Macaca mulatta: one gene and its partners. The protein of the gene in region 2 interacts with the protein of the main gene of each other region in a biochemical or structural test. Links are inferred from orthologs where the notes say so. Each region holds a gene or a part of one and is shown on either strand. Other genes may lie near its edges.

Evidence for each region.
Region 1: the proteins of CDC34 (region 2) and RNF7 form a complex in vitro, tested with the Homo sapiens proteins (5 studies listed by BioGRID). The link is inferred for Macaca mulatta from reciprocal best matches to the Homo sapiens genes CDC34 and RNF7.
Region 3: the proteins of CDC34 (region 2) and FBXO7 form a complex in vitro, tested with the Homo sapiens proteins (2 studies listed by BioGRID, with this or other methods). The link is inferred for Macaca mulatta from reciprocal best matches to the Homo sapiens genes CDC34 and FBXO7.

The regions. Positions count from the first base shown.
Region 1 is NC_133407.1:44,728,386-44,732,459, forward strand, and holds the start of RNF7 (RING-box protein 2), read left to right. Parts: upstream 1-1,140; 5' UTR 1,141-1,273; coding exon 1,274-1,448; intron 1,449-4,074. UniProt on the Homo sapiens protein: Catalytic component of multiple cullin-5-RING E3 ubiquitin-protein ligase complexes (ECS complexes), which mediate the ubiquitination and subsequent proteasomal degradation of target proteins.
Region 2 is NC_133424.1:1,177,296-1,180,942, forward strand, and holds the end of CDC34 (ubiquitin-conjugating enzyme E2 R1), read left to right. Parts: intron 1-2,754; coding exon 2,755-2,968; 3' UTR 2,969-3,497; downstream 3,498-3,647. UniProt on the Homo sapiens protein: E2 ubiquitin-conjugating enzyme that accepts ubiquitin from an E1 ubiquitin-activating protein, and catalyzes its covalent attachment to other proteins by an E3 ubiquitin-protein ligase complex. In vitro catalyzes 'Lys-48'-linked polyubiquitination.
Region 3 is NC_133415.1:19,006,214-19,009,860, reverse strand, and holds part of FBXO7 (F-box only protein 7), read left to right. Parts: intron 1-189; coding exon 190-227; intron 228-3,161; coding exon 3,162-3,548; 3' UTR 3,549-3,647. UniProt on the Homo sapiens protein: Substrate recognition component of a SCF (SKP1-CUL1-F-box protein) E3 ubiquitin-protein ligase complex which mediates the ubiquitination and subsequent proteasomal degradation of target proteins and plays a role in several biological processes such as cell cycle, cell proliferation, or maintenance of chromosome stability.

The DNA of each region.
Region 1 (4,074 bases), on a different chromosome or scaffold from region 2:
TGACGGTGGGATCAGGCATCTCCTTAGGCTGTCTGTGCTTCTGCTTTCTTTTCAGTGGAGATGCCTGCTTTCTTGGAAACACATGTGATGGTGGGCTAGCAGTAGAAGCACTACTGTAATAACAATGTGATCTTTGTCATTTCACTTCTTCGGACCTCATTAGTCCTACATATAAAAAGAGGAAGTTAAACTAGCTCAAATGTACTGAGCAGAAGGAATGGAGACTCTGCAGATGAGGAAGCAGGGCCTGAAAAATACGTGTGGGTTGTGTCGCCACACACCGGGACTCCTGGGATCCTGACCTCTTTTAGGGGTCAAAAGAGGGCAAACTAGTTGCCTAACAATATTTAGAGCTATTTCTCTCTTTTCACTCTCATTCTACGAGTGTACACGGGAGTTTCTAGAAATTACATGGTATGTGAAGTTATCCCTCTAATGATAACCTCTAATGAGGTTATTACTGTGATTTTTAATGAATACATTTAAAAATATGTTTTAATTTCTTAAAAAGAAACATTAATCTCTATGTACGTGTGTATACATATACAGGAAATGTATGAATATTCATTATACATGAATGTACATATATTCATTGTATATATGTATATATATTCATACATATGTGTGTGTGTATATATATATTTATACATTTCCTACATAAATAAAAGCTCTTTAAGGGACTAATAATTTTTAAGTGAAAAGGAGTCCTGAGACCAAAAAGTCTGAGAATCACTGAGCCAGATTTCTAGATCTTTAAGATCATTAATTCACTCAAGAAATAATTGTGCCTCTTGTGGCCAGGCATTTTGTAGATACCGAGGACAATGTGGTGATAAGAACATATTCCCTGCTCTGATAGAGTTTTACACTTGGGAGGGAAAAGACAAACAAGTAAATTAACAAGATTATTTCTGAGAGCAGTAGTTTTAATGAAGCCATAAAGCAGGACACACATTCCAGCACAATCTGTGCGCCTGCTCAGACGTAACACCCCGCAGCGCGGCAGGCGGATTCGGCAGCGTAGCCCCGAGAAGCCCCAAGCCCGCTCGGTCGCCCCAGGAGGGCGGGGGCGGGGCCTGCCTGCCCCCCCGCCGCTGGCGTCCGGTGACGTCACTGGGCCGCGCCAGCCAATCGTGGGTGGCCGGGGTCTGGGCACCACGGTGGCCTGCGGCCTGCGGGCGGCGCTGTGGCCCGTCGGGCGGCCCGGCAGAGCCGCCCTAGCCTCCCGCCTACCCCAAGCCAACGTCTCCGCCGTCGGCTCCGCGGCGCCGCCATGGCCGACGTGGAAGACGGAGAGGAAACCTGCGCCCTGGCGTCTCACTCCGGGAGCTCAGGCTCCAAGTCGGGAGGCGACAAGATGTTCTCCCTCAAGAAGTGGAACGCGGTGGCCATGTGGAGCTGGGACGTTGAGTGCGATACGTGCGCCATCTGCAGGGTCCAGGTGATGGGTAAGCGCTGCACGCAAGGCCGGGGCCGCGCTGCGGCCTCCGGGAGCCGACTTCGGGATTGGGACTGGACGGGCGCCCGCCAGAAGCCTTGGAAAGTCCCCTGCCTTGGGGAGTGGGTGGAGGTCGCCCTGCCCGGGCGCCGGAGGAACGCGGAGCCACGATCCTGTTGCGGCTCCTGAGGGCTGAGGGGTTGTGCAACAGGCGCCCGGCGCCGGGTGGTTGGTGTTCTAGGGAGAGAAATGGGCAATAAACGGAGGTAAACAAGGTAATTTCAGGTAGTGATGGGTGTGACCAGGAAAATAAAACCGGGTGATTGTTGGGAACTAGCAGGAAACACTTCGGTTTGTGTGGCCAGCCCCTGTTCTAAAAGCTCATCGCAAGGTGGACAGAGTAAAGGCCGTGATTCAGCAGTGAACTTTAATAGTCTTGGTCACCATCAAAGTGATGCTCCGGAGTCATCTTCCACAAAACGACACCCTTAGTTCTCCTCGAGGTACACAGGAAAGTGTTCACAGCCATTGCATTTCCGGATTAGCTTACCGCCGCTCTTCGAATGGCTTTTAAATCTGGATTGATCTAAGACGGGTCAGATAGCACTAGCGTGGCTTGAAGGGGACAGTGTGATTCAAGAATATCTAAGTTTCATGGAAGCCGAAGAATTGTAAGCCCTTTTTTCAGAAATGTAGAACTTCACCTCCATTACACCCCCCTCTCCATATCGGATGTCATTTCCTGGAGAAGATACTGCCCTGCTCTGAGTCATGCCTTTGTGGAGAACCCTCTTACAAATATGTCCTCTTTCTGTGATATTTGGAGTTAAAATATTAGACCAAGCAAAATGTTTCAGAACAGCTTACTCTTGTTATATTTTATATGGTTCTAAGATCTCAGACCACTTTGAAAAGCAAGTGCTGTTTAAATGCAAGTTGTATTTTCAGATAGGGCATTTAAAATTACTGTGAGAGCATCTTCAGTGGAGTTCTTTATTGAGGGTAGTTAAAGAAAACAGACATTTCTGTAGTTTGAAAACTGACTTGTCTTGAAAAATGAGAGAATTGGAGAACATAAAGAGAATTGCTGTCCTTGAGGGGGGATGAGACTTTAAACCTACCAGAATCAAGAGATTTCTCAATTTATGCTCTTTTGTCTTTTATTCTAAGGGCTTGTTTCAAAGAGGATTTACAACAATTGGATTCAGATATTTTTACCTTTTACTTTTGAAAGACCTTGTTATTAGACATGACCCACTTATTTTATATGGATCACTTGAGCCCAAGAGTTTGAGACCTGCCTAGGCAACATCGCAAGACCCTATCTCTACAATTAAAAATTAAAATAAAGTGACCAGGCATGGTGGCCTCCAGCTACTCAGGAGGCTGAGGTGGGAGGATCCCTTGAGCCCAGGAGGTCGAGGCTACAGTGAGCCTTTTTCCTGCCACTGCCACGATACTCTAGCTTGGGTGACAGAATGAGACCCTGTCTCAAAAACAAACAAACAAAACATATTAGGCTTTAAAAGTATCTAGTTTATTTGCCAGCAGTACAGCTGCCCCTACCCTCACTTAGGAATCATAGTTTCCAGTTTGGGAAGCATTTTTTAACTGATCCAAGAGACTTTTTTTTTTTTTTTTTTTTTTTTTTTGCAATACAAGTTTTGCTAAACATTTTATCTCCTAAATAAATTCCTTTAGTTTAAAGGAAACTAAACTTTCACTTAGTTCCTTTTCAGTTTAAAAATAATGTTCCCAAAGGGTATTTTCAAAAGATTTCTCTCCCAAAAAGCTATTTCCTCCCCGAAGGAAAAACATTTAAGCAGTAAGTGGAAATGTATAACCTGAAATAATGATTGAAACTTTGCAACAAATAAACTTTACTGAGATATTTTAATGTAGGTCAAAGTATAGGCTATAAATGACACATTTCATCATAAACTTTCTAATTATAGCAAGTATTCTGCTACTACAGGATCAGTCTTGCATATTTGCAAACAGCTGTACTTTGGGTTCAGGAAAGTATTCTAGGCTAGACCTTTGTATTTTGTTTATGAGGTGTTAAAACCCACTTAGAGGTCAGGTGACAGCAGAAGGAAACTTTTTTTCCAGACTTCCTAGTCTTTACCCTAGCACCCTTCTAAAAGGTGTTATTGTACTCCTTAGAAATGTGCTGTTTTAGATTCTAGGAAGATCATTAAAGCAAATTTTTATCTTTTATCTGCAACTTTAGGAATTTGTGTAGATTTGGGTCAGTTTTGATAATCTACATTAGAGCTATAAGCGTAATTTAGAGATTCCTAGATTCAGCAACAAGAACCCACTTTGTTCCCTTTCCTTAGTATTTGGAATTTATCTCACACTTGTGATTTATTATACTTTCTGCTCCCAAGATTTGCCCGTCAGCCCATTCTGATATGGATAACACTCTCATCTTCGTTTCCACTATCCTCCCTTCATTCAGAAAAGAGTGATGATTGCATAGTGAGCAAAGTGCTGATGAAAAGCGTTGAATAGGTTTGCTAGTAGAGCCAGTTATAATAGCCAGGGTAACCCTTCATGACTGTATCACCTTAGATATTTCACGTAACTTTTGGGAGCCTTATTTTCCTAATTTGTAAAGAGGCAGTTGGGAT
Region 2 (3,647 bases):
CTTCCCGGGTTCAAGCAATTCTCCTGCTTCGTTCTCCGGAGTAGCTGAGATTACAGGTGCACACCACCATGCCCGGCTAATTTTTTTTTAGTAGAGGTGGGATTCTACCATCTTAGCCAGGCTGGTCTCAAACTCCTGACCTCAGGTGATGTCCCCGCCTCAGCCTCCCAAGATGCTGGGATGACAGGCGTGAGCCCCTGCCCCTGGCCTAGTGGTTAATGTTTTCATAGATTTTTCCAGACTCTTCGGTTTAACGTATGTCCATGTTTTAATGAGGAAATGGGGTTGTGCTGTGTGTGCCCAGTGACTGTCAGTCAGGGGTCTTGGCCTTACTTGTGTCAGGCACGCGTCCCTGCAGGCTCTTGGCCTGGCGAGCTCTGGGGACGGCTGTGCGGCTGCCTTCTGGCGCCTTCTGCCGTCCACTTCGCCTGCGTGGCTGTGTGTGGTGATCCACGGCTCTCCCTCTCCTCCCGTCGCGCTCGTGCCCCAGAGCTGACCCCCACAGCCTCTTCTCTGGGGTGCCTGTGCTCGTGTGAACGGGAAACACGGGCGTGTCCGCACACACAGGCGAGGCTTTCTTGACGGGTTGACACTTAACGGTTCCTGCTTCTCCTGTTACATTGAGGCTCTTCCCGCCTGCTTGTATTTCTCAGAGTGAAATTGCACAGATTTCCTCACAGAGGCCTCACCTATTTTTGTTTTTATTTTGTATAAGCAGAATCTTAAAAACGACCTTTAAAATATTGCACACATAATCCACGTGTCTTCCTCACCCCAGGACCCACCAGCGTCCCGGGCACCTTCCGTCCTGCACTTGCTGGCAGCTGGTGTCGTGGGGTCGTCCTGGGGCAGCGTCCTGGTGCTGGGGGGTCCCGGCTCTGAGCAGCCATGGTGGGCGGGTCCCGTGAGGCCTCCTGGGAAGTGCCCTGCAAGCACCTGCTGGCCCCTGGAGGTCACGGGGGAGCTGGCCCTGGTCATCCCTCTGTGCAGATGTCCTCAGCGGCCCTGGCCTGGCCGTCTCACCTGGCCCATGTGGCTGGCTCCTTGGCCCAGTTCTTCCCGGCCACCTCCCTGAGGCGCCTCCCCGAGATCCCAGCGCAGAAATAAAAGCCATACTATTTTTATCCCTCAAAACTCCCTGCGGGCCAACTCACGTGCCCGTGTGGACTGCCGTGCTCGCTGCTTTGTGCCTGTTTTAAATCTGTGTGTGTGTGGGCCTTGTGGCAGCCCGAGTCCCACTGAGCTGTACCAGGCGGGCTGCCGTGGAGCCCGGCCGGGTCAGGGATGGTCCTTGGTGAATAGCACCGCCAGACGCTCCCCTCTCATGGTTCGTGCTGGCGGTGTACCGGCTGCACCTCCACGGCACAGGTCAGGTCACACCCTGGCCCTCCCGTGCATCTCCCCACGGCCGCCACCCGTGCAGTGCCGTCCTCAGGGCACCCGTCACCCGCCCAGCCCGTCAGAGAGCCCGGGAAGCAAAGCATGGAATCTGCCAGGTCCCACCGCCCAGGGACGTCCCAGAGGCCAGACGTCTGCCCTCCATGCCTTGTGCATCCCCATAGGAAGCGCTGGGCTTGTGGGCCGGGCTTGGGGGTGTCTGTCCGCTCCGGACCTGCACACCCCGGTAGCAGCCAGGCCCAGAGCCGTGCCTGATCGGTGACGGGGGCTCGAGGGCCGGGTTGGAGTGCTGAGGCTGCGGCCTCGTTCCTGTTTTCTGTCAGATGGGGTCAGCGTGCAGCCCGGCCCTGCCATGCCAGCCCCGGACGCCCCGGAAGCCCCTTTGCTGCCAGTCCTGGGGGCACGTTCTTGACGGGTGTCCTGGAGGCAGAGCTGGGGGCAGGCCCTCTTAGGGCCTGGTGTACGCGGTGCCCTCCAGAAAGTCTGAGGTAACGGAGCCTCCCTTCCTGCCAGGGGCCGGGATGGCCAGGCCCCCCTTGGTTTAGAATCCTGGCAAGGCCACGGAGAGGCTCCGGCCGTTTCTGCGTTTCCCGTCTCACCTGTGCTGGTTCCTGGCTCCAGGGATGGTCCTGCCTCCTGTCCGTGGCCCTCCCAGCTGCTTCCTTTGCTCCTGCGCTCCGGAAAGCCTTTCTGCCCCCGAGTGGGGCTGCCTGGGCACTCCCTGTTGCCCGGCATTGTTATTTTCTCCTAGCTCTGATGGGTCCTGTGGGGTGTGCTTCGGGGTGGGGCGGGTGGGTGTGACTGCTGCGCCGTCCGGCCTCCCCGCTGCACCTCCTGCCCTTCCCTAGCCCCTCCGGTGTCGTTTCTCCCCTCTGGGCCTCCTCATGCACAGGGCTGTTTCCTAAGGGGTCACTGCAGCCCTTTTTTATTTTTTATTTTTATTTTTGAGACAGTCTCGCTCTGTCGCCCAGGCTGGAGTGCAGTGGCAGGATCTCAGCTCACTGCAAGCTCCGCCTCCCGGGTTCACGTCATTCTCCTGCCTCAGCCTCCCGAGTAGCTGGGACTACAGACGCCGCCACCGCGCCCGGCTAGTTTTTTGTATTTTTTAGTAGAGACGGGGTTTCACTGTGTTAGCCAGGATGGTCTCGATCTCCTGACCTCGTGATCTGCCTGTCTTGGCCTCCCAAAGTGCTGGGATTACAGGCTTGAGCCACCGCGCCCGGCCAACCCCAGCCGTTTTAAGAGAAACCTGAGCGCTGGGATGAGCGTCGGACCCGGGGGAGGAGAGGGGAGGGGGCAGGGCAGGGGCCGGGTCCAGGCACGGAGGTGGCGCCCTCACCCGCCCTGTCCCCCTAGGAAGCAGGTCCTGGGGACCAAGGTGGACGCGGAGCGTGACGGCGTGAAGGTGCCCACCACGCTGGCCGAGTACTGCGTGAAGACCAAGGCACCCGCGCCCGACGAGGGCTCGGACCTCTTCTACGACGACTACTACGAGGACGGCGAGGGCGGCGAGGAGGCCGACAGCTGCTTCGGGGACGATGAGGACGACTCGGGCACGGAGGAGTCCTGACCCCGCAGAATAAACGCGCAGAGTTTACCTCACTAGGGCCGGACCCGTGGCTCCTTCGACGACAGACTACCTCACGGAGGTTTTGTGCCGGTCCCCGTCTCCTCTGGTGGTTTCGTTCTGGGCTCTTTTCTCCTTTCCCGTATTTGTTCTGGGTTTTCATGTGCTTCAGAGAAGAGGGGCTGCCCCACCGCCGCTCGCGTCACTCGGGGCTCAGTGGACGGCCAGGGTGGGAGAGCCCCGCGCACCTCTCCTCGGGAGGGGAGCTGAGCCCCGACGTCTGCTGGGCCCCCTAGCTTCCGGACTGGCCGTACCCCGGAGGAGCCACGGGGGCTGCTGGGAACGTGGGCGGGGGCCGTTCCTGCCACTGCCAGCCTGGGAGACCCAGGTGTGGGTCCGAGGGGCCCGGGCCCGCCTGTCAGCTCCAGGGCCTGGAGCCACGTCCCAGCACCAGTGGACGGATTCACCGTGGCCGACTCTTCTCTCTGCTTTGGTTTGTTTGAAATCTAAATAAAACTACTTTATGAGAGGCCAGAGAAGCTCTGCTTGGGAGGGAGAGGCAGTCTCCAGGTCCGTCAGTGACTGCACACGGCCAGCCCCACTGGGACCCTGGCTTCGCCGGGCGTGGATCTAGGAGGCCTGTCCTGGGAGGCACGGGGAGCAGCCGGGTCCCGCGGTCTGT
Region 3 (3,647 bases), on a different chromosome or scaffold from region 2:
AGTGTTTGAATTAGATAAGAAAATATGAATGACATAGTGTGTGTTATATAAATGATTAGTTTTTATTTTCTTTTTTTCTCATGCTTAATGGGTAAGTTTCACTTTTCTTAGGAGAAAAACAAAACCCATTGTTTAATGCTGGATGAATGAAATGTTTTTAAATCCTTATTTTTCATTTTTCCTTTGCAGACAATACTGTCAGAGTTCAAGACACAGATTGGAAAGAAGTAGGTATTTTTAAATATTAAGGCTAATGTCCATAACACAGAAATGACTAGTGAATTAATATATTAAGGGTATATTTTCACTTTTATATGATGTAATGAAATCTGTTTTCATTTAATTTACGCTAAATTTCAGTAAATGAAAATGTTTTCAACTTTTACTTTAGACTCAGTCCTTATTTTCTTATAATTATATGGAAAAAATGTTAACACAATGATTATTTTTCATCTTTACTTATTGTAAAACATTCTTTTGTTGCAACAAAATTTAAATGAATTGTCTTTGTGCTGGAGTAGTCATCAGCTGTTCAGCTAGTTAAAATAGTACCTTATGAAAAGAATATATTATACTGTTTCATAAGGTACTATTCTAATGTCTCCATAACAGAAACTGCAAGGTAGAGCAGCAAGTGCTGATGGAGAAGCTGCTGCAAGTTATACAGAAGATGTAGCTAAAATCACTGATGAAGGTGGCTGCATTACACAACAGATTTTCAATGTAGATGAAACAGCTTTCTATTGGAAGAAGACGCCATCTATTTCATAGCTAGAGAGAAGTCAGTGCCCAGCTTCAAAGGACAGGCTGACTTTTTTTTTAGGGACTAATGCAGTTGGTGATTTTTGAAGCCAGTGCTTATTGACCATTCTGAAAATCCTAGGGCCCTTAACAATTATGCTCACTCAGGCCTGGTGCGGTGACTCACGCCTGTAATCCCAGCACTTTGGGAGGCCGAGGCAGGCGGATCACCTGAGGTCAGGAGTTCGAGACTATCTTGGCTAACACGGTGAAACTCTGTCTCTACTAAAAATAAAGAAAATTGCCGGGTGTGGTGGTGCGCATCTGTAATCCCAGCTACTCAGGAGGCTGAGGCAGGAGAATCACTTGAACCGGGGAGGCAGAGGTTGCAGTGAGCCAAGATCGCTCCATTGCACTCCAACCCAGGAGACAGTGCAAGACTCTGTCTCAAAAAAAAAAGAAAAAAGGAATTATGCTAAATCTGTGCCTTTGCTCTGTAAATGGAACAACAAAGCCTGAATGACAGTACGTAGTTTATGGCATGGTTTACTGAATATTTCAAGTCCACTATTGAGGCCTACTGCTTATAAAAAATACTCCTTTTAAAATACTGCTCATGGACAAATGCAGCCAGTCATCCCACATCTCTGACAGTGATGTGCAAGGAGATTAATGTTTTCATGTCAGCAAACACAACTGCATTCTGAAGCTCATAGATCAAGGAGTAATTTTGACTTTGAATCTTATTATTTAAGAAATACATTTTGTAAGGCCATGGTTGCCAGAGACAGTGATTCCTGATGGATCTGGGCAAAGGAAACTGAAAACCTTTTGGAAAGGATTTACCTTTCTAGATGCCATTAAGCATATTCAGGATTCATGGCGGGGAGATGAAATATCAACATTAACAGGAGTTTGGAAGTTGATTCCAATCATCATGGATTACTTTGAGGGGTTCAAGACCTCAGTGGAGGAGTGCAGATGTGATGGACCTAGCAAGAGAGCTAGAATTAGAAGTGGAGCCTAAAGATGGGACTGAATTGCCGCAATCTCACAGTCAAACTTGAATGGATGAGAACTTGCTTCTTATGGATGAAGAGAGAAAGTGGTTTTTTTAAAAAAAAAAAAAAGTCGGCCGGGTGTGGTGGCTCACACCTGTAATCCCAGCATTTTGAGGGGCCGAGGTGGGCGGATCACGAGGTCAGGAGATTGAGACCATCCTGGCTAACACGGTGAAACCCCATCTGACCTAAAAATACAAAAAATTAGCCGGGCGTGGTGGCAGGCGCTTGTAGTCCCAGCTTAACTTGGGAGGCTGAGGCAGGAGAAAGGTGTGAACCTGGGAGGTGGAGCTTGCTTGCAGTGAGCCGAGATCGCACCACTGCACTCCAGCCTGGGCGACAGAGCAGTGAGACTCCATCTCAAAAAAAAAAAAAAAAAGTCAGTTTTTGGGTTACAGGTGGTTTTTGGTTACATGGATAAGTTCTTTAGTGTGGTGATTTCTGAGATTTTAGTGTACCCGCCACCCAAGCAGTGTAAACTGTACCCAAGATGTAGTCTTTTAGCCCTTACCTCCCTCCCAGCCTTTCCCCCTAAGTCCCCAGAGTCCATTACGTCATTCTTATGCCTTTGCATCCTCATAGCTTAGCTCTCACAAGATTTGGTTTTCCATTCTTGAGTTACTTCACTTAAAATAATGGCCTCCAGCTGCAACTAAGTTGCTGCAAAAGACATTATTTCATTCCTTTTTATGGCTGAGTAGTATTCCATGGTATACATATACCACCTTTTCTTTATCAGTGGTTTCTTGGAATGAAATCTATTCCTGGAAAACAAAGGATTTCGAATATTACATAAATTTAGTTGACAAAACAGAAGCAGGGTTTGAGAAGGTTGACTCTGATTTTGAAAGTTTTACTGTGGGTAAAATGCGATCAAACAGCACCGCATGTACAGATAAATCTTTCATGAAAGGAAGAGTCCGTCAATGTGGCAAACTTCACTGTTGTCTTATTTTAAGAAATTGCCACAGCCACTTCAGCCTTTAGCAACCAGCACCCTGACCCGTCAGCAGCAATGAACGTGGAGGCAAGACCCTCTACTAGCAAAAAGATTGCAACTTGCTAAAGACTCAGGTGATTGTTAGCATTTTTTATCAATAAGTATTTTTAAATATTTTTAAGTACATTGTCTTTTTAGATATAATGCCATTGCACACTTAGTATAGTAAACGTAGGATTTATATACACTGGGAAACCAAAAAATTTGTGTGACTTGGTTTATTGCATTGGTTTGGGACTAAATCCACAATATCTCTGAGGTGTACCTATAGATCTTTACTATGAAAGCAAATTAGAACTACAGGGAAACATCCAGATCACTTACCTTATCTTGTTCTTTTATTTTTCTTTTTTCTACAGCTGTACAGGAAGAGGCACATACAAAGAAAAGAATCCCCCAAAGGGCGGTTTGTGATGCTCCTGCCATCGTCAACTCACGGCATTCCATTCTATCCCAACCCCTTGCACCCTAGGCCATTTCCTAGCTCCCGCCTTCCTCCAGGAATTATCGGGGGTGAATATGACCAAAGACCAACACTTCCCTATGTTGGAGACCCAATCAATTCACTCATTCCTGGTCCTGGGGAGACGCCCAGCCAGTTCCCTCCACTCAGACCACGCTTTGATCCAATTGGCCCACTCCCAGGACCTAACCCCATCTTGCCAGGGCGAGGCGGCCCCAATGACAGATTTCCCTTTAGACCCAGTAGGGGTCGGCCAACTGACGGCCGCCTGTCATTCATGTGATTGATTTGTAATTTCATTTCTGGAGCTCCATTTGTTTTTGTTTCTAAACTACAGATGTCAACTCCTTGGGGTGCTGATCTCGAGTGTTATTTCTGATTG